Linked DNA regions of Medicago truncatula. The main gene of each other region encodes a partner of the protein of the gene in region 2 in a complex. Links are inferred from orthologs where the notes say so. Each region holds a gene or a part of one and is shown on either strand. Other genes may lie near its edges.

Region 1 (10,887 bases), on a different chromosome or scaffold from region 2:
TCTTTCATTAAATTAATAAATGAAAATAAATTTAGAGACAAATGAATAAAAACATAATGACTGACAGACATCTATGCAACTGCACTGCAGTCGGTGAGTATTATGCATCATTGCAATTTCTTTGCATAATTTGTGTAATACTTCCAGAATGAATCATGGGCCAACACAATGGCTACAAGTTACCAACTTGGGTTGTTGTATCGACCGGAAGGGGATACTTTCCCACTCTGTCCAACCAAACTTCGAGTCCCAGCTGATAAAAGTGTCTACAATTAGTGTCTGACCATGTTGAAAACAAAAAAGAACGGCTACGAGTTGCTATTATCTTCAAATCTTTCCAACACAAAGATATTGCCTTTGTCATCCCTTCCTATTCTCATTTTGTCATCAACATATCTATAAGATAATGGAATTAAGAAACAACAATTGTCATCAATATTACAAGTATGAAAACACAGAAAGACAATCAACCAAAAATTAGGATACGTGATTTCTAGCCATCCCTCTGGATTGAAGATGCCCAACAAAATATCATAATTTTTCCGAAACACATTCATCAACTGTGCATGCAAGAAGGAAAAATTAATTAAACATATGAAATTGAAGTGAAAATTTTGATTAGGCAAGAACATAAAGAAAAGGTACTAATATCTTTGTAATATACCTGATCAGGAGTGATTGTAGAATTTTCAAAATTAATGTCAACCCTCTGTGAATTTAAAGTAGAAGCTAAATTAGTATTTATTTGGCGGCAATATGATTGATTAACTAAAAGTAACCAAACAAAGAGGAGGAGATTTAACTGTTCTGGAAGCAATCTTGAATGAGGCCTCAATACTAAGCTCTCCACACAACAATATCAACCCTTTTGCATTGAACTTGATCACGTTCACCGCTTTGCTCTTCATTTTCAAATAATGAATCAATAATAAATCAAAATAGACAAGATTATTATGTTTGTCATTTAATTTAAATTTAATTTCATCTATATATTTTTGATTCAATTTAGTCCTGCATGTGCTAAAAGACTCAAACGTTAACAATGTAGGCATAATTGACATGTAGTTCACTTTCTGCAGTAGTTTTATCGGGTCTAATTTGGGATCTTTTGGTTTTATGGATTCACAAACTCGTGACTACGTGCAATTAGCCGCATCTAGATTGTCCGATCAAAATCAAACGATCTAAATTTCAAGCTTAGTATTTTAGATTTTAAGAGCAAAGACGGATTAAGTAATTTTGACACAAAAATACGAAATTTATGATTGGAAACTATGCTTAGTTTTGTGCCTTCTGAAGTTTAATGTTATCATTATCAAATAAAATCAGTAAATCAAAAGTCAAAAGAAAAAGGGTCATATATCATATAAAATTGAGAAGTGCATTGTATTTGTACCTTGGTTTTATCAATAATCTGAAAGAAATCACCCAATGCGATAAAGTCTCTTAGGCCTAACTTTGTCCTTCTTGATCCCAAAATTGAGATAGTGCTATAAACAAGCCTCCAACACCCATCCACCTTCCAGTAATAGAAACATAACATGATTATGAAAGTTTGTGTATGACAATTAATATAGTTTAAAAAAATGTGATTTAGGCCTCGACATCAACTTTTTTATGTCTTTGCGGCCATAACACAGCCTCTTATGACACCACATCAACCACATTTAACTCGAACTCTCCATAATATCAAGAATCGCGGCATGACTGTACCGTGTCGATTTTAAAACCTTGACATGAAGTTACCTTCTCTAGTTCTAGTGTTGGTTCTGGAGTTGGATTTTGAGATTCTAGCTGCTTCACCAAAGTTTCAATTTCTAACTTCTTGCCGGATGGAATTCCAAATATCCCTCTGTTGATTCCTTCAAACACATTTGTTTACCCATTTCAAACAAATTACTCTTTCCACTTTGTTAACTAGTGTTAACAATAGCTCAGAATAACAAATAATAAGAATAATTGAAGATGCTACCTTCCAGAGCCTGGTAAAGCTCTCTTTTCTTCTGTCCAAGTGCTTCATCTTCAACTAAGCCATAGCCAGAAGATTGTTCTGCAACTTTAATGATAGTAATGGGTCTAAACCATAATGGCTTCTCACCAAATCTTGAAGTCTTTATCCATGAACGATTACTAACCGGTCCAAATCTTTGAAGTTTCATGATGTTCATGGTTCTACAAACCAGAGGAGAATCATTCATTGATGGATGCACTAGCTTAGTTATCATAATAACATTCAAGCTTAAATACAGAATAATGAAACAGGGTAGAGGATCATGGTGGTGACACCTCGCACGTTGTTCTTTCAAGTTTTCTGATAAAAGGGTGACTCAAAATTTTGATGACAGTGGAACTGTGTACATATTTGTTGTCTTTATTTGATTTTTTCTAATCAAGGTTTTTGGATAGGTCTTATCGAGACATGTGGTTAAAATTCATAGAATATATGAGGTCCATGAGATAGACACTGTACGTGTTGGTCTCTTACTTATTGACCTCAAAAGCCAAATGTTCCTATAGTATGCACAAATTGAGTACAATAAAAATAGTTGACGGCACTTGAAGTGGTTTCAACCATTCCTTCTATTCAGCGTACAAAAGTAATGACACGGTCATAAGATTTATGAATCAATTGTTTTCACAAGTGACGAGGAGGACTATAAAGCTTCTTAGTTCAGATGTGAAGAAAACAGTAGATTTTTAAGGCACCATTGAATCTTGTGTGTGGTGAGAAAAGGACACAATTGTCAGTGTAAAAGATGTGTGCATATTTGGACCTCTGGTAAATTTGACAAAATCACGGTGTGCTACCGTAACTTTAGCTAATATACACTTTGAAGGTTCAGCAAAACCACAATGCCTTCAGTTTACCAACTCACTGTCATGATATATCAGGACATAGCGAAAATCACCTAAAGGTTGAAACATAATACTCATCAATAACGCCATCCAAATGAACTAGCAAGGTTAAAAATTCAGACTGAAAACAAAACCCTCAGAAGAAAAATGAAAAGGACACCCACATATTCAAGTCAACAAGTTAAGTCCACATGAAGAATGAACTTGGAAAGAATTAAAATTTAGGAAAAATAGAAATTGATTGATCCATTCGGATTCAGACATGCAAGAAACCTTCATAAGTCATGCATTCTTAGCTTTTTACTTTGCCTTCATTTCTTCCAACTTTCATCTCTATTGAGCATGCTTACATGTATTCTAGTAAGCAATACCCAAGAAAGTATAAAAAGAACAATCATCATAAAATTACCCTACTGAAAGTCAGGGACTTTGTCAACTAAAATTTAGCAGTGCAACATAAAATTTGAGTGGCAGCAAATAATACATAGAACTATGATCCACAAATACTGCCAGCAATATATTGTAAGGGTTTTTTATTTATAAATATTATATGCTCTAGGCCGCAGGATTTGATTGGTTGGACTCTTGCTGTTTTTTCCACTGCTCTGGAGTTACAGCTTTCTTTACAGAGAGTGCATGAATCTCTTTCATTTCCTCCTCTAAGGCAGCATTCACCATTCGATGCCTTTCCAATAGCCTTTTTCCTTCAAATTGTTCTGAAACAATCTCAACTGCAAAACTTGAACCACACCTAATAATACCAACATGGAATTATAAGATTGTAAGATATAAGCGACAAGTATACGGTGGTAGAAAAAAGCTGATAAAAAATGTGTTGGATGGAAAACAAAACTTACCCGCCAGATATATCAGTTACTTCCTGAAACAAAAACAAACATAAGAAATTCAAAAGGAAAAGGAGAAGGTCATTGTCAAATACAAATGGAAGGTTCACATTTTCAAGTTGGTGCAGTAGTATAGTTTGTTCCTCATAACTCATGAACTCATATAAACTGTAAAACTGATAAATTGAAGGTTGATCATTTTCCCTTTCATAGGATGAAGTTCCATTTTTAACATATTTCACTAAGGATACTCTACACTGCATGTAATGTCGAGTCAAAAGTAAAGAGGAATCAGAGGATGTGCATTTTCAATGTACATGTATTTTGAAGCTGATTGTGTGATGTGGAAAAATGGTGGTCTCTCATTGGATGTCAGTGTAAAATTGTGGGCTGCCAGTGTGTAACCATTAAACTCAGGTAAAAATACTGATCATGTTAATAATCAGACCAGAGCAGTGTGAAAACTTCAAGAGTCAGACACTAATTTTACAGTCTCTTGATCAAAAGAAATTCCAAAATTGTAATATAGACTCCAGATAGCCATAGCTAACAACTATTAGGGTCCTTGAACTTGCATGAATATTGAATAAAATTACAACAACTTTCCTAAAAGTGTCTTTCGCTAGTCAATTCGGTCCTCGTTAGTTTGGTCATTGAATGTATTTTTCGTTAATTAGGCTGTCCATGAAACTACTAACCGAAACACACTAAATAATGTTTTTGAAGTTTCGATACATTTGGGAACAATTAGGGATTTTTTTGGATCTCCAATGCTAAGAGGCATGAAGCATGACAAAGGAATTGCACATTCCAATATAATAATTAGGGCTAAGGATGGAAAATAATAATATATACAAAATAAAATAAAAATGGTGTGTTGAAATTAAGCCATGTTTATTAGTGAAACGAGCGTAAATCAAAGGAAAGGAACGAAACTGGAAAAGAGAAACTTACAAGATGGGAAGGGTTGAGTTTGGAGTTCAAAGATGATTCGACTTGTTCCTTTGTCACACCCATTTCTATTTCTCTCTTGTGAGGTTTGCCCTTTCTGCTGTTCTTCAATTTCTCGTGTAAACCCTTTTGTGAAAGATATTCGCTTCTTAACTTGCCGTTGCTCACACGCGGATAGATAAAAGAAAAATAAGGCTTAATATATCATTTTCCTTAACTTATTTTCTTTTTTCATTTTAGTCTCGTAACAATTAAACGTCTCAATTTGATCCTATAAATCTTATGCAGTTTATTATTTTGATCATCTCCATTAGTTTTTAGTTTAAGCTGAATCATATTAAAGGTGGTCCATCATAGACTTTATAAATTCATTTAATTTAAACCCTTTAATATTTTTTTAAAAAGAGAACCGTTAGATTATATAGGTCTGTTGTATCTTACGGTGAACCATCAACACATAATTTTTTTCTTATTTCTACTTCTTCTTCCTTCATCACATTCATACTTTCTTGGTCAATCTTAATATAACCCAGAAAAAAATAACAACCACAACACATAATATCATCGTCAAAATCAAACACAGAAAACAAACAACAACCCTTCAAATTCAGAATCAAACCCAGAAAACAAACAACAACAACCCTTCTTAGAGAAACAAAACCAAATCATTCACATCAAAACTGTCAAATTCTGATTCAGTTCTTCTGCATTCGGATTCAATTCATTCACATCAAAATGAAATCATAATGAAAATGAGAGAAAGAGAGTAAGTGTTGTTGTATTGCCTATGGGTTTGTGATTTTAGTTCTTCTGCATCTGGGTTTTGTATAAAAATAATTTCAATAACTCAGCTTCAAACGCAATCCCATTCCGTATAAAGAAAACAAAAATAACCAACAGTTAAATCTATAAAATCCCTATAAATCTCATCGCACAAGAAAGGAGGTAGCGAGCCTTTAATTTCACCGTTTATATTAGGAAGAAGTGATGTTGTATAAACTGTGGAAGAAAGAAATGAATATATGTCTCAAATTGGAGAAGATTAATTTAATGGTAGAAGAAATGAATCACGAAGAAGTGAATCTATGGATTGCTGTGTTTTATTTTTAGTTTTTTTATTTTATTATTATTAATGGGATCTAACTAAAATTGAGATTTTAGTGAATAACGAAGAATCAATCAATTCTTATTTTTTATGTTTTTGTTTGTTCAATTTTTTTGGGTTTATATGAACTTAATAATTAAGATGACGAAGATCAAGAGGAGTAAGAGGGAAGGAGAAGAAGAAGAAGAAAAGGAAAAAAAAAATCAGATGTTGGTAGTTCACTATTATATACAATGGATCTGCAATCGGATGGTTGAAGTCATATCAACATTATTAGACATTAAAAAATTAACGGAGATGATTAAAATAGGTAACAGCGTAATATATAGAGGTCCAAATTGAGACGTTTAATAGTTAGGGAACCAAAATGAAAAACGAAAATAAGTTAAGGGATCAACTGATGTATTAAGCCGAAAAATAATTATCCTATTTTGTTATTCACTTCTTTTCATCATTTTTTTTAACATGAGTTTATTTTATTTTAACTAATATTTTTTAAAGAATTGTATTTTTTTTTTAGAAATTTGAATGTAAATAAGTAGGGTATATGCGATTTAAACCATGTCCCTTTTTTTTTTTTTTTTGGTCAGGTAGCCTAGTGCCTAGAAATTCACTTTTAAAGTGAATAAGTGGGGTGTCTGGGGTTCGAACCCCGGCCCCTGCATATAATAATGCATTGTCCCTGCCAACTGAGTTATGCTCACGGGGACAACCATGTCCCTTTCTATTGCAATATATTGTCACTATCAATTAAGTTAATTTTTTTAAAAGAATTGTTTTCTTCAAAAAAAAAAAGTTACACGCTACTGATCTAAAACTTATTTGCGCACACAATTAATATCATTTCACATAGAATTTTATGGAGATGGTTTTTTTATAAGAAAAAAAAATTACGAAATTAAATGAGACAAACTATTACATCTTACATCATCTTCTGGTAGAAGTTTCAAAGTCGAACGAAAAACATTGCAAACATAAATATAATTAAAATACAATGAAGAATGTATGAGATTTGTCAACAGATCAACACATTGTTTAGCCTCGCAATGCACTTGACAAACTGAAGTTCTCCATATAGGACGGTGGATAAGAGAGATCACCTCATGGAGAAGAGAATTTTGAGATGAACCTGAAGTAACCATATTAACCATGATCATAGAATCCATTTCAAAAATGGTGTTTCTAATATTCAATTGACTCGTCATATCTATTCCAGTGTATTTAAAGGCCCCAAAAGTTATGCCCACGAGGCAGATAAAGTGACAATTATGTTGTCGAAACCACGTATATTCCTACCATGTCAATATCTAATCAAACCTCCACGACTAGATATTCATGTTGACTTTTTATGATATTCACCAATATTAAACTTATAATGATCGTCTGGTAGAGATGACCAAAAGACCTTGACATTGTGTCTCGATGGATGAGAATGAAATTAGACATTAGAATTTAGAATTGATAGAGAAAATAGTGAAATTAGCATAGTTGGTTATTTGACATAGAACTTGGTTACCAATCAAAGATTTCCCATTGAACATTAGGCTATTTCTATCTTTCCAAAGCTCATAAACGTCAACTCCAAAGAACATTTGGCGATTGTTATGTATTGTGTCAATATTAAGAGTTTTGATATTCTAGTCGAGCCATTGAAACAATCCAAGACTAAAGAAATTGCTCCAAACATATTGAGAAACTAGACCATTCCACAACATGTTTGCTTCTACGCAATCTCTTAAGACATATATAATTGTCTCTTGATAGTCACCATATATAATACAAAGATTGTCTCTAGTCATACTTATATGATACCTTTCATCATTAGTTAGAATTTTACCATGAAAGATATTAAGGTTTGTTGAGAAGAAGTGATGTTTACCATGTATGATAGAATACGGTGATTTGAGAGAGAAATCTCCATCTCTGGTAAGGTTTCTTCAAAGAAAGACAGATTTTTCATTAAAGGGAGGCTTGATAACTGTAATTTTCTCATAAATTTATTGAGGAAGAAGTTGATTGAGCAATTCCCAGTTCCATCGGCCATCAAAAACATAATGAGAGACAGAAAACTCCATATGGACAACGGAAAAACCATTGGAGGCGATATTTTGCAAAGGGCCATAATCTCAAATCCAAACATATTTTCAAAACCAAACACGATGACCATTCTTAATATACCTAGTTATGTTTCTAGAGACATCCTTCTAAACACTAACAATAACCCTCCAAGTAAAAGTAGAAATAGATGAATTATTATTTACTGTCGAAAATCTAAGATCATCGCAAGAGTATTTAGCACTATCATGACCCAAAATTTATATGGACAAATAATTAAATGTCAAATCAATTTCATTATATAAATCAAATTCAATCATTGAATTTTTCTTAAACCGCCCCCTCATGTGGGAGGCGAACTTGTTCTCATGATGAGATGTGTTGCAACAAAAAATCTGCAATAATGTGAAGAGTTATCAAAAAATGAAAAACATTGATTAAAAGATGAATCACTAATTTTCATTTTCTATTTTTTCCACTTCCATTTAAAAAAAAAATAAAAAAAATACTTGGCACGCTTACAAATCCCAAAATTCGAAAACTTTAAACCTCTAACAACCGCGTAACAAACTCACACGATTACAAAATCTCTCTAACAGTTTCACTCCCCCGCGCGCGCGTATATAAGTACTTCACTCTGCATTTCATCCTCGTTCCATTCATTTTCCCTCTCTCAGAATTGAAATCAAATCTTCAATCACTGCTTCTTCTACTTTTTCTCAAACAACCATGGAAAGCTCTTCAACCTTTTCTTCTCTTCGATTCTCGATGCTCTTCGCAATCTTCTTCACCGTCATGCTTTCCGGTGACAAGGTCACCGCCACTGAAGGTTTCGAACCTTCAATCCCACCGCTACCTCCACATGATCTTCAAGAACATTCGTTCTTCTCTCACACCACATTACTTCCACCGATCTTGTCTCATCTCGGATTTCACGAGCTTGCAACCGCCGCTCCGTCGCTCTCCGATGCCGCAACCACCGCTTCCTCTGCTTGGACCGGTCCTTCTACCATTTTCGCTCCCTCCGATGCTTCGCTTCGCACTTGCTTTTCTTGCTCTGTTCCGAATCTCCTCCGTGAACACATCGTTCCAGGTTTATTCACTATCGAGTATTTGCGTACGCTTCCTTTTGGCACCAAGATCGAGACGCTCAGTCCAGGCCGTTGCATAACCGTCACTTCCGATTCGATTCATTCGAACATTACTACCGGCGGTGCTCCAAAAGTTTTCATCGGAGGCGTTGAGATTGCTCAACCGGATCTATTCAACAACGGAATGGTTGTTGTTCACGGCCTTCAAGGTTTCGTCTCTACACTTTCTCCGTTTTCTTGTGACGTTGAGAGAATGACTTCACTCTCCTTTCCGTTTCATCCTGATCACCGTTCCAGTGCTCACGTTCACACTCACGGCGTCACCGTGCTCCCTGCTATAATGCGCCTCATGCTACGAGATGCAATGCTCAGGCTCCGTAATAACGGTTTCAGCATCCTCTCCCTTGCGATGAAGGTAAAATACGCAGAGCTCATAACTCTCAACAACATGACTATTTTCGCCGTTGATGATCTTTCTATATTCTCCGGTTCTCAATCGTACATCAGCAATGTGCGATTCCATATCATACCGAATTATTACTTGTCGATCGCCGATCTTGAGAAGCTTCCAGTTGGAACTGCTCTGCCTACATTGGAGCGAGGTCAGCCGCTTCTGATCACTACTTCCGGCGGAGGAGTGACATCAGCGCCGATGAGGATTAACTATGTGAGAGTTAAGGTTGCTGACGTCATCCGCAATGTGAAGATAGTTGTGCACAGTGTGTATTTGCCTTTTCCGCATATCAATCCTATTGCGGCTGCTTATGATACTATATTAGGAGGTGAAGGAGCGTCGGAAGGAGCAGGTGTTGGAGCCGGAGCATCAACTTTATTAGATTCTCCAGGTCAGGCGACGGAAGAAACCTGCTCTGCTCTTGATGGACGTGGTGGTTGTGCTGCTGGTGTCACTACTACAGCAGGTGTGTCTCCCATGCCTCAGGTCAAGCCAATGGTTGAGATTGAAGATCACCATGGCCTGTGAGTGCGATGCTTCGATGATGATGAAGATTGCGGTTTAGTTCTTTCTCTGCTGAAGTGAATCTCTATGAAATTTGTAGTTAATAAGTTTACAGTTACACTGTTGTTCATGTACTAAAGTGAAACTCTGAATTTGTAGTTAACTCGCATTGTTGTTTAGTTTGTGGCTTTGTGCTGCGCTTCTTTCTCCGTTGAAGTGAAACTTTGAATTTGTAGTTAATTCACATTGTTATCAAAGGCTTTGTGGCTTTGTTGTTTTATTAGTTCTTTAATAAACCGTTTGTTGATTTAGTCTTTACAGTTTTCTTGAGATTATCTTGGTGTTTCCATGCATGGTTTCTGCTTTGGTGTCAACTATAATGAGAGCACATTGTCATTCTTGTTGGGTTTAATTAAATGATTTAGTAACTGGTCCAATTGAACAATCCATTTGAAATTTATTTACAACAGTGAAATAAAATTATCAGAGGAAGTCATGGTTGTTGGATCAAAGAAAGGTACCTAATAAACATCTTAAAGCACTTACAGAAATAGAGAGAGTAAAGAGAAAGTGAGAGGGAAAGAGATGGATTGGTTAATGTTTTCGCCTCATGCTGACAAAATTCAGAAATTAGGCAACATTTGCGATAAAGATGATTTTGAGCTATGGCGTACGCTATATCAAAGTCTCACTGCTGGAATTTTCATATCTCTTTCGGCATGAGATCCACATGCTGGAATTGACATGTTGACCATGACCACTACTCGTCTACACCATGATTCTGATGAAGCAGGAGACATGCGCCGACTCATTGCATGAGTTAAGGCTTGAACAGCACTGGCTGGGCAATTAGAATGTTCTAGAGACATGGATTTAATCGCATATGAATCCCACGGATTGATTGACAGAAGTGAAAGAGCACAAGTAAAAAAATCTTGTTTAAAATGTAATGAAATCTTCTACACCTGCAATAGTTAAAAAAATTCAGCACAAAAAATGTGGCAATAGATGTGAAATAACCTGGAT
Region 2 (11,437 bases):
CTAAAATATATGGTTGCTGCCAGGCATCTTTTTAAGATTGATTTCAATGTTTTCTTCCAGTCATTGATCAGCAAACCGCTTGGATCTACGAATGATTTGACACTGCATTATGAAAATACGGCAAAGCAGCATAGTGTTGGTTCAAGCAGAGATTTCCCACCATGTCAACCTCAAGAATCGTCTATCACTGATGATAACTTTATTCCTCCTCCACCTTCACTAGGTATGTTAATAACAATTACCAATTAGTTGTTTGTTTTAATATATTGTCCAGCATACTTATTAGGTGATATTTAAATCAGTATCTTTTCGCGTGAAATAAGTTTTGTTGAATGTTACTTTGCTGAGTTTTAAAAGTGAAACTGAAATCTTAGATCCACTGTCTCCCCATCATAAATGTCTCTCTTGGCTCCATATGTTGTCTTGATATAATGCTATTGAACTTTGGTTTTGCTTCTCTATTACGATCATAGGTAACACTGCTAACACATTATGTTTTTCAATTGGTTTATCTGCTTAATAGCTGTTGGATTGTCAATTATTTAAAACTTGTTTCTGCATTATTTGAAGAGATATTTGAATGATACCTTTTTTCAAGTTTCGAAAATCGTACTGTGGTGCTTTTGCTACCTCTAATGGATATAACTTATATGCAAATATGATGCAGAATGCAAGAGTGGTTCTGAAATGGACATGTCCGATGTTCAGAAGAATCTCAAAAATCTGTATGAGTATAATGGCATGTTAAGGGAAAGATTATTAGCTGCGCAGTCTCTGCTCCACTCCTCCTCATCTAACCACTCTTCCCAAATAAAGAGCAACGAAACTTAGCATAGGTGTCTTTGCATCAACCGATCATCAGACCATTCCATGAATTTTACAAGCATGATTCAACAGTGGAAGTTGATTCTTGATTGAAACCTGTCCAAGAAGAGTTAATGGTTGTAAAATCTTTAAGTGGGAGAATGTGCTGAATAGATCTCTTCAAAACCATAGTATTCCTAGCCGAATATTCCTGCATTGAAGCTGCTGTGTCTGGACAAAACATGCCGCCGATCCATATTTGATTTTGTCCGATATTCTTTGATGATTATTGTTGTCATCGTCTAATATTCTTTACCACTCTTCTGAAACTGATTTTCCATGTTCATATATGTTTCGTCAAACCTTGTATATAGCCAGTGCAGTATTTTGTGTAAAGGAGAGTGGATTGTGAGTAATAGTTCTTCAGAATGTAACATAATTTCCCATTTTTATTCTTTATGGATTTTTTATGTTATGATATGCTGAGTGACTTTTTATTTTCACTATAGATAAATTTCTCTAGAAGGGTTATACAATTAAGAGCATCCAATAAGCATGTACATCCCTTGTTTGTTGGAATGAACAGACACAAACAACTGGGTTGAGTCTAAAAAAGCATGGATGTTATCTTTTGTCGTATTTTCAGATGATGTTTTCCAATTTCCGACCACTGCCATTAATTTTTAATTTTTTTCTCCCATGCAGATACCACTAACCCCTTTAGCTTGTTTAAGAATCACATTCCCAATGTTGTCAAAACTAAAAAAATGAGTTAGCTTTCAATTTGAGCCCGACTTCCAATTGATATCATTATCCAGCTAAAGTCACAATCACATATGTCTTCATTCACTCAATCTTATAAAAAAAGATCATAACACAAGTATTACTATATGACGATTGCCCCTCTTACAAATTTTTTGATAGATATGTTGGCAAATCCTTCCACCAATAAATTTATGGCCACATTTCAATTAGAGAGGCAAAACCCTTGATCTTTTCAATAAATTTTAGGAAAATATCCTCATATTTTAAGAATAGGAAATGTTAAGGTTAAGGAATTAGAAAAGGAAATATTTTCTTAGAAATTGTGTATTCTATTTTTTAAAAGTTGAAATATTGTCATTTTCAATGCGAATCATGTCCACTAGTTAACAAGACCCTTTAGGAATTTGTCCCACCAACTTCTCTTCAGTACATTGGCATTTGGCATTTGGCACACTAAGCTTCACAGGTTAATTGTATTGAATTGGATAACATACCTTATACATCTAAGTGCACAATCTACATGCTACAGCTAGACTTCTACCATTTTTTAGAAGCATATTGCATAGAGGAAGCTAATTTTGTAACTATTGTGACTACCGGGTAGAGCCAGTATTACAAAAACCAGACCGATGATTAACCCAATTTAAAAAAAGGGTTTAGTAGTGGATCATGTGGTTGAACCATAGATCAATGCCATAACATCCGGTTTATAAGCACAACCATGGGTCCAGTTCTCGGCTGAACCGGTTCGAAGGTCAGTCTGGTCTGATTTTTCTTTAAAACAGTGGTATCATGTTACAAAGTAGCAACATAACAGTTTAACAGAAAAATTCAAACCGAGGCTACAAACCTCATGTCATGACAATGTATAAGAAAGAGTTAGACAAACTGGGGGTCTGTTGTAAACAGAACAGACCTTGCATTTGTAGGAGACTGATTTCACAATTTAAATCAATGAATGATCTTGTAGTAGTTATCCCGATCATGGCAGTTTAACAAAAGTGAGAAAATTGATTAATGGAACAACATTTGCAGCTGCAACTAGCACTATAATTGTCCATTCAATGAGATATTCTACTTTGTATTCAAATGCCAGAATAATTGCAATGTAGCATACATACTCGTACTCATAATCATAATAGACATTTGTGGACACAAAATGTATTATACAAATATCCATCATCCCAGAGCCATTGTATAACTTAGTGATGATTATGCTCATCAGCAAATGAGACTTCAGGAGCACATTGCCTTCTCCACTAGTTCCTGCAATTCTCCATTCTTATATGCCTCTGCAGCCATAAACAAGGTGAGATTAAAACAATTATTTTCGAGAAATTAAAGGTCGATAATAACAGTCTTATCCGATGCTAAAAAATAAACTTAATAACTGATTCTTATGCAGTCAATAGTAACATCATGCAGTAAACATATGAAAGCTGGAGGACCTACTCGAAAACAATTTTTCTTTTTCAACTTTTATGGATCAATTACAAGGAAGCAAGGTATGTACATGTAACAGTAAAAAAGATTAATATGTGCAAACTGGCATTTTGTAAACATCAATTTTGCAATAGCTGATAAAAAAAAAAAAATCTCTGTAACCGACGTGATAGAATATTTGTCAGGTTACTAGCATTTAAACCAATCTGGCCGTCTTTTGTATTTCTAGCTTTTCTTCAAATTCAATCTTTAGATAAAACTCTTCCCATTTCTTTAGGTTCTATTTAGTGAATCTTAAATCTTCAAAAAATGAGAAGGAAAGTATATAGGCGAAACCTATGGTATGATATCTCCATTAGTTTAATATGATAACTAATCACTAGTAGCGACTTGATTAGAATATTTCCTAACTCAAATGTAAAATGTGAAATTTATCATAGCTCTTTCTATTACTAATTATCCATCATGGAAGCAAACCAAATTAAACAACAACAACAACCAAGCCTTATCCCACTAAGCGGGGCCGGCTACATAGATCACGACGCATAATGGTCTATCATATACCATATTTATATCAAACTCATTAATCTCTAGATCTTTCTTAAAAGATTTTTTTATAGTTTTTTTATGTCTTCCTCTGTCTCAGTGTTTTGACTACTCTCCATCTGATATGATCTCCTTACTACATAATCTCGAGGTCTTCTATTTACATGCCAAAATCACCTAAGCCTAGTTTCCACCATCTTTTCTACTATAGGTGTTACCCTAACTCTCTAATGTTGTCATTTCTAATCATATCCCATCTAATCTTACCACACATCCAACACAACATCCTCATCTCTGCTACACTTAGTTTATTTCCAAGTTGGTTCTTGACAGACCAAGACAATGTCTTATACAACATTATCACCAAGGCAACATTGATTGATGAGGCCAATATTGTCCAACACAAAGACACAAACAAGAATGAAAATCAGAAATTCAAGAGGACATACCAACAGTGATATCACATCCTCCAAAAAACTCTCCATCGATATAGAGCTGAGGAAAGGTAGGCCAACTGGAATATTCCTTCAGTCCCTGGCGCAACATATCATTGTCCAATATGTTAATCGTTTCAAAAGACGCATTCAAAGACCTCAAAATTTGCACAACCGTATTTGAGAATCCACACTGTGGAAAATCCTTAGTACCCTTCATAAACAAAACTATTTTGTTTGATGTAACAACCTTATCCAATGTGGTCTTCAATTCAGGAGTCAAAGCTGAAACAAATCAAAATCAGAAAAAACCCAAGTTGCATATAAGACTATATAATCATATTCTTATCTATGAAATTGTAAATAGTAAAAAAAAAAAATTGAAAAAAATAGAGTTAACCCTACAAGGGGCTTTTGTGAATTGTGAAAAACTGAAGGGTGAAATTGAAATGGGGGAATTAAAGATTGTAACTCTATAGTAATTAAGTGAAAACCCATGAAGGAAAAGAGGTTTAAGAAGTACCAGAACAGCGAATTGTGGTGGAAAAACGTTGTTTGAGTTGAAATTTGGGTTGGGAATGTAAAATAGTGTTTTGTTTGAGAACAAGAGATGAACGAGGTGGAAGAGACAATGACGAGGTTGTTGTTGTTGTTGTTCCAGAAACATGGGAGTTGAAGCATGATGTTGTTGGGTGCAAGTGTACTTGCAAAGGGAATGGTTTAACGCACGAACTGAAAGACATGATTGTTTGTTCAGTTTCTGAGTTCAACTCCAATCGCAATTCTCTCTCCAAGTGTTACTATTTGTTTTATGTGAGAAGATATTAACTAATTTGTGATAACTTTTGTACGACTTTCTCTCTCACACTTAAATCTTATCTTCTCTCTTCATTTTTCTTTCTATTATTTTTGACCAATAAAAAGAGAGAAAAATAAGATTGTCATTAAAGTTGTCATAGAATGTATGTACAAATATCATTGCTCTTGTTTTATCAATTATCAAATCATGGATGAGGGGTAGCCAAAAAAAATAAAATTGATGGATGAGGTCTATTATTATCTTTGAACAAAAATAAAAATAATTATTTGCAATTTGGAAATGATATCCACAAACATATTTTACACATGTGAAAAAAAAAATTAAATTTGGTATCGAATTCAAGGACCGACTAATATGAGGAAATTAATTTCACCGCCCACTTGTGTGGGGGGGGGGGGGTCCGTTCTAAGCCCACTTATAAATTTGTTAATTTTCGTTGTTGGATAAATTATCACCGATTTTTTAAAGATAACTTAAAGAAAACTTATCAATTTGCTAAAAACATATATTATATTATTTATCTATATCATTTAGTAGTCTCTTTGGCAATCTTGTGTTGAAGGGGTTGCTTAAGTTTTGTTAATATAATTCATTTTGGTTTAAATTTTCTTTAAGTTATCTTTAAAAAATCGGTGATAATTTATCCAACAACGAAAATTTTAAAAAAATATTATATCATTCTATAAATGCAACTTAGAAGTTAACTAAGTATCTCCTCCGAAAAGAAAAAACCAGAAGTTAACTATTATCATTGGTTGGGGTAGCTTCTAATAAATAATAATTGTTTTACAATAAAAACTTGTTCATCTTAGTTGATTTAACATATGCATTAATAATAATATAATACAGTAATATATGTAATATTACACATGTTAAATAAATCTTATGAAGATATTAAAAAATTAAACTTAATATTATTAAAGAGATCGCGGTGTTGTTTAGTAAAAAGTAAAAGAATAGTTCGCTATTTGCTTTATCACATGGCTCCTAGCTTTGTAACTAAACAAGTCCTTTCATTTTATAAGCTCTAGCTTAATTCTGTAGTTGCACCAGTCGATGTGGGACTAAGACATTAAACATACTGTACGCACATAATAATGCTTTTTGTTTCCAGTAGATCGTCTGTGCCTCAGCAAATAGCCTTACAAATATGGTTAATCTTTTCTTCTAGATTTCATGTTTCAGATCATTTTGAATTTCATTATCAAAGCAGAACAAAAGGAATATTTCATCATGAAAAATAACCCTTCTGTGGAATCAATTAGCTTCAACATTCAACACCATGTATAATGAAAATATCAAGCCAATGGGAGCACTATTTGTATGCTAAGGATGGGATGGTTTTCAATTGGTTGAGTAATTTTGTCCCTCAAATTTGTTTTCACTTCTTCAACACCCTCAATTGTTCCATGCTAGCTGAGGATGATTTTAGTGAAGACTTTTGTTATGCATTGGTTCATTATTGTAATTGCGTTTAAACCATTGTCTTCACATCAAGAAAGGACTCTTCCCATTTTCTCTTCTTCTGTTGGATGTGTTATTTTCAAACAGTCTTCCACAAAAAGGTTGAATTATTGTATAAACCTTAATTAATACTAAAAATATATTTATACTTTTCTTAAGTGTTTTAGAGGGCATGAGAGAACTTGTTTTTCTTTTTGAATTAAAGAAGCTATAAAATGTTTTTAAAGATAAATTTACGTGTCATTGAATTAATATATGATCATCTCTCATGTTGATTTTTCAGTTCTTTTAAATCTCAATTATACACCAAAATATAGACTTAAACCTTCATTTTAACAAAGCTCAATAGCATGATATGAATGAATAATATACAATTAAGAATCTGGCTTATCCCTTTTTCACCGTGTAAAAGAAATTGGTGTATTGAGAGAAATAAAAAAATAAAAAAACTATTGATCTTCATCAGTTGAAATGTCAACCCCCAACAATGACAATTCTTCGCGCAGTAAATCGACATTCTTGAAATGTACACCCTTGATCCCAACTTCAGCTGCTGCCTGCACATTTTTTGGCCTGAGAAGACAATAACTATATAATTAGACACACCTTGTGATAAACTACTTTGATAGGTTGGTCATTAGCAAATTCAAATGAAATAATCTGCTTATGTCTTCTGCTTGATTAGAGGTGAGGCGGGATGAGGGAGATATTTACATTGGGTGCCAAGATGCCAGTACATAAGCATTGCATACAAATCTTTGTGTATTGTGTTATTGATAAATTGTAACTGATATCATGGTTTGATTTTCATAAATAATCTGATGTATAGAAATATTAGAAACCTGTCATCTATGAAAATACAATATTCTGGATCAACTTCAAGATGTCTCACAACTTCCTTATAGAATTCAGTATCCGGTTTCCTCTTTCCTGAAACACAATAAAAATGGCTCTATAATATTCAAGGTTTGCATAAAAGGATAGTTTGAGTGTATAGTTTGACCTTTAAATGATGAGTTCTTTTTTTCGGTCCAACTAGGATATAGATAATATCATAATCAAACAAAAAGATGATGAACACAAAAGGCATAGAGTGAGAGAGCCTACCAAGTGTACACGAACAAAACGTCCAAGATAAATATTTTGATAGCTTTAACTTGTCTTCGATCAACTGATACCTACAGTACAAAACATCATTACGTAGAATGCCACGAAATGAAAACCAGATATCGCAATAGAAAATTCATTTTCTTACCATATAGGATAATTAGTAAAAGCATGCATCTCAAAGTTATTTTTCTTTAAGGCAAGAAGCAATTGTTCAACCCCTTCTATGTATGAATACCCATTTCTCATACAAGTTTTAAGGCCTGTCATAGAAATAGAAGAACACATGCAAGTCAGTGGCTATATCAAAATAGAGGGGTTTGGAGCACAAAAATGATACAAGGAGTACATTATGAATGCTCTCGTTGAATTTTAACGTTGACACCAAATTACTGACCTATTTCAATTAGCACATAAAAGTAACATATAGCTGGTGAAGGTAGGATAAAGACAACAGTTTATATTGGAAAATGAGGACTTGTTTGTAGTGTAACTCTAACTTATCTACCTTAATGTTAATAATGACCCAAAATATATTACCATTTACAATGTCGTGCATAAAAACTAAATTCACACTAATTCAACGAGAGTCAAGTGGTGTAGAATTTGGATGCGATAGACAACACATAATATCTTGTCTATATGAATGGTGGTTTGTTGAAATATCCATTGCTTGCGCATTCCACAACTATTTTGGTTTCATTTCTACAACTATTTTGGGGCTCTGTGGTCTGGACTTATGTTCAGGTGTACAAGTACATCATGTACTAGAGAACTGGTCTTTATTTTGAGTAATAAAGAACCATAACATTGTTTTTGGCAAAAGTGAGAAAAGAAAAGCTTACATGTTTTGTAGTAATATACATAATAAATAATAATCCAGACCATATGCGTAAACCACATTTAATTTGTACCTCCAAATTATCTTCATTTTTTAACCAAAATTTCATAATATGCAACCAGCAATTCTTAAAAAAAATGGAATTTTTATTTATTATATTAACAAGTAATCTACATCTGATAAAGTTATAATTATATTTGTTCAATTCATCACACATGAGATTAAAATACTAAGTGATCAACTCTATCTAGCAACAAAATCTGAGACAAACCTTCTAAATCAAAATCCCTTCCATCCTTAAAAAACTTTCTTTCTAGCTCTGCCTGAAAGAAAAGAAAACTACTGATAAAAGCAGAAACTATCAAATTATCAATACATTTAATACAAAAGTTCTAAGAAATTTGAGAAGATAACATCAAAACAAGCATACCCAAATTCCCCAATTGCATTTTTAAATTCATAATTGTAAAAAAGATTCAATCTTTATACATAACATGAAAAAGGGTCACTTAATTTTGCAATGAATTTTATCAAAATTTAATGCTTTATTTTAGTTTTACCTCATCAATAAGACCCTTTTCAAATTCAATCCATGAAGTTGGATGTTTGCAATCTATGAGTTCATTGAAAGACATTCCAAAGAATTCTGGGATGTCTTTGTAAAAAGGGTCACGAACAATTGTATCCATGATGTCAAATAACAGAATTGGAAGTTTTCTGTTTGTGTTTTTGGGGAATGATGACATGTTTGTGATTGAATTTGAAAGTGAAGGTTTTAAGTAATTTGTTGGTGGTGTTGTTTGTGTTCTAAGTGTTTTGTGGATTGAGAATGAAGAGAATGGTGTTGTAACATTTGGTAACACCATTTTTGCAATTGTTTTCATCTAAATTCATGGGGTCGTAGCTCACTTTAATATGAATATGGATATGGACAATCTTGCTTGTAAATTAGAGTCCAAATAGGAACAACTAAGGTAGGGTATAACCAATTTAATAATAATATATAATTTTTGGGAGTGATTGGAGTACCAATAGGCATGATGCATTGCTTCAAAAACAAAAATAGGCATGATGAATGAAAAGAGGATGTATTAAGTAAGTATATAGGATTTTTCTACTACATTTTTCACATGAAATGTTGCATTAATATTGAGTTGAATTATTTTGAGACATCAAAATTCTGCAAGGTTTACATGGTGAATACAGTATAAGGATGCTAACAAATGTTTTTAGGATGTTTCCTTAAAAAAAAAAGTTTTTAAGACGTTTGTCAAAATATATATGATTTTATATGTTTTGATATATATGATGATACTCATTAGCTATGATTTAAGTTTAAATATACACTTATATTTGTTACAAATTACTTAATATATTTATAATTTATTCCAATCCATAATCTTCTCAAAATCTATTATAACCATAAAAAACACTTAAAAAATGTATCTAAGTTTTTTAGAAAATTTATATTTTTATAATGACTTACATTCAACTCATGTGCCACTTTTTTAATATATGCATAGTAATAGATTAGAGACTATATTACAAACAAGAGTTTGTCACTTTTCGTAATATATGCATAATTATAGATTAGAGATTAGATTATAAACAAGAGTTGGTTTGGATGAAAGTAGTTAGATTTTCATATCACGATGAGGTAAGATACGAATTCATGAATGGAGATAGCTATAAATACTCTGACGCTCAAGTTAGTAAGAAAATAAGATGTGAGATATATTTTTTGTTAATAAAAGTATATTTTGCTTTGTATTGAATGCTTGTATTTATATGACGCGAGGGTAGTTGTTAAAGCCGTTACGAATGGCGAGCTTTATTGAACGAAGTTGACAATCGTTGAAGACAATTTAAATCATGGGAGACATTACAAATCACAAGGATAATATGCAAATAGTTGTTGCGACGTCTAAGTGAGTTCTATGTTTGGAGCTCGAGTAGGATTGAACTTCGTCCTAGTCCGGAACAAATATATTTTTTTAAATAAGTTTTTATCACTAAATAAAAATAATTGGATAGATTATTAAATAATAATGTTGGAAAAATAAAAAAAAAAAAAAGAAGAGAAAGATCTATGCAAAAAGTCCCTCTAAGACAAGTGCAATAGCCATCTTCTGGGAAAGTAGTGGCTCCTCAGAATCACCGACCACCAATTCATTCCCCTTTGACTCAATCATCTTCTTCATCAATCATCACTCTTTAAAATTCTACACCCCCCATTCTCCACCCTTTTGAAAATTCTACACCCCCCTTCTCCACATGAATCACATGCTACTTTCCATATCCACAACCCAATAATTTCACCACCTACACTTCCCTTTCAATTCCTTCAACCATGGTTTCCCTTTCAATTCCTTTCTTCCCCCTCACTCCACAAAAAACAACTTCCCCTTCTACTAAATTCCAACCCAAAAACAACTACTTAAATCCATTCCATCACAATAAACATCACAGAAAAGTTATATGTGCTTGCATCGCTCCTCCACAAAATTTCAAAGCACAGGACTCTTCCTCCATTCAATTCAATGTAACACAACAAAAAGTTCCTTCCTTTTTGCTTGCCCATCTTTTGTTTTACCTTTTTTTATTCATTTTTTGATGTGGGGTTGGTGATAAACTCAATTTGGTTTTGTGGGTATCATCAAGTTTTGTTCTTTTTATGTTTTGTTGTGTTTTTGACATAAAATGTATTTGTTATTTGTTAGGGTTCATCTAAATCAGAACAATTGAACAAGGCGCGGGACCATGAGGATGATTCTGATGTTCTTATTGAGTGTAGAGATGTTTATAAGTCTTTTGGGGAAAAGAAAATCTTAAATGGTGTCAGCTTCAAGGTGATTCATTTTATCATTCATTGTCTTTACTTTTCTCTTAGCTTTTAGGTTGAATTCTTAATATATAATTCGAGTGTGATATTTAGGATGTGTTTGGATAGGCAACTTAGTTTAGACCTTATTCAGTATAAACGGTTGTAGTATAAGAACTTATGGATAAGCTATTTCCACAATTGAATAGGAGTGAGGATCAACTCTGCGTAAACTGCAAAGAGCCTATAGATATATCATGAGTTTATTTTCATTAGTTTAATTGTTGCAAACATAAGATATTTGCTAAGTTTGAATTATAACTTTGAGGTTAAGTTTATTCATCGTCAAGCGAATATGGTTACCCGTAGCCTTGTTAAGGCGCCCATTTCCA

What was found.
Region 1: the proteins of monothiol glutaredoxin-S14, chloroplastic (region 2) and protein BOLA2 are in contact, whole or in part, in an NMR structure (PDB 2MMA), measured with the Arabidopsis thaliana proteins. The link is inferred for Medicago truncatula from reciprocal best matches to the Arabidopsis thaliana genes CXIP1 and AT5G09830. Residues at the interface, in NP_191050.1 of Arabidopsis thaliana: Lys130, Ser133, Asn134, Trp135, Pro136, Thr137, Glu146, Phe147, Phe148, Asp152, Ile153, Glu156, Ala157, Thr160, Glu162, Glu165, Glu166; in NP_568217.1 of Arabidopsis thaliana: Arg46, Leu47, Leu48, Arg50, His51, Arg52, Asn55, Met62, Ile65, His66, Ala67, Leu68, Ser69, Ile70, Lys71, Gln74, Gln78.

What each region holds. Positions count from the first base shown.
Region 1 is NC_053049.1:42,946,009-42,956,895, forward strand, and holds protein BOLA2, read right to left. Parts: upstream 4,825-10,887; 5' UTR 4,719-4,824; coding exon 4,656-4,718; intron 3,737-4,655; coding exon 3,714-3,736; intron 3,608-3,713; coding exon 3,412-3,607; 3' UTR 3,066-3,411; downstream 1-3,065. Other genes in the region: fibrillin protein 5 homolog, read right to left, coding at 309-396, 487-560, 665-709, 804-902, 1,397-1,519, 1,747-1,862, 1,973-2,225. UniProt on the Arabidopsis thaliana protein: May act either alone or in interaction with glutaredoxin as a redox-regulated transcriptional regulator, or as a factor regulating Fe-S cluster biogenesis. The GRXS17-BOLA2 heterodimer binds a labile, oxygen sensitive iron-sulfur cluster.
Region 2 is NC_053048.1:36,960,430-36,971,866, forward strand, and holds monothiol glutaredoxin-S14, chloroplastic, read right to left. Parts: upstream 4,795-11,437; 5' UTR 4,736-4,794; coding exon 4,516-4,735; intron 4,278-4,515; coding exon 4,008-4,277; intron 2,862-4,007; coding exon 2,806-2,861; 3' UTR 2,507-2,805; downstream 1-2,506. Other genes in the region: uncharacterized protein, read left to right, coding at 61-223, 668-831; flavin mononucleotide hydrolase 1, chloroplatic, read right to left, coding at 6,726-6,849, 7,119-7,206, 7,384-7,454, 7,532-7,646, 8,496-8,547, 8,785-9,108; protein TRIGALACTOSYLDIACYLGLYCEROL 3, chloroplastic, read left to right, coding at 10,575-10,766, 10,945-11,073. UniProt on the Arabidopsis thaliana protein: May only reduce GSH-thiol disulfides, but not protein disulfides. Probably involved in the regulation of the redox state of the BOLA proteins. May act as Fe-S cluster donors to Fe-S cluster-requiring proteins.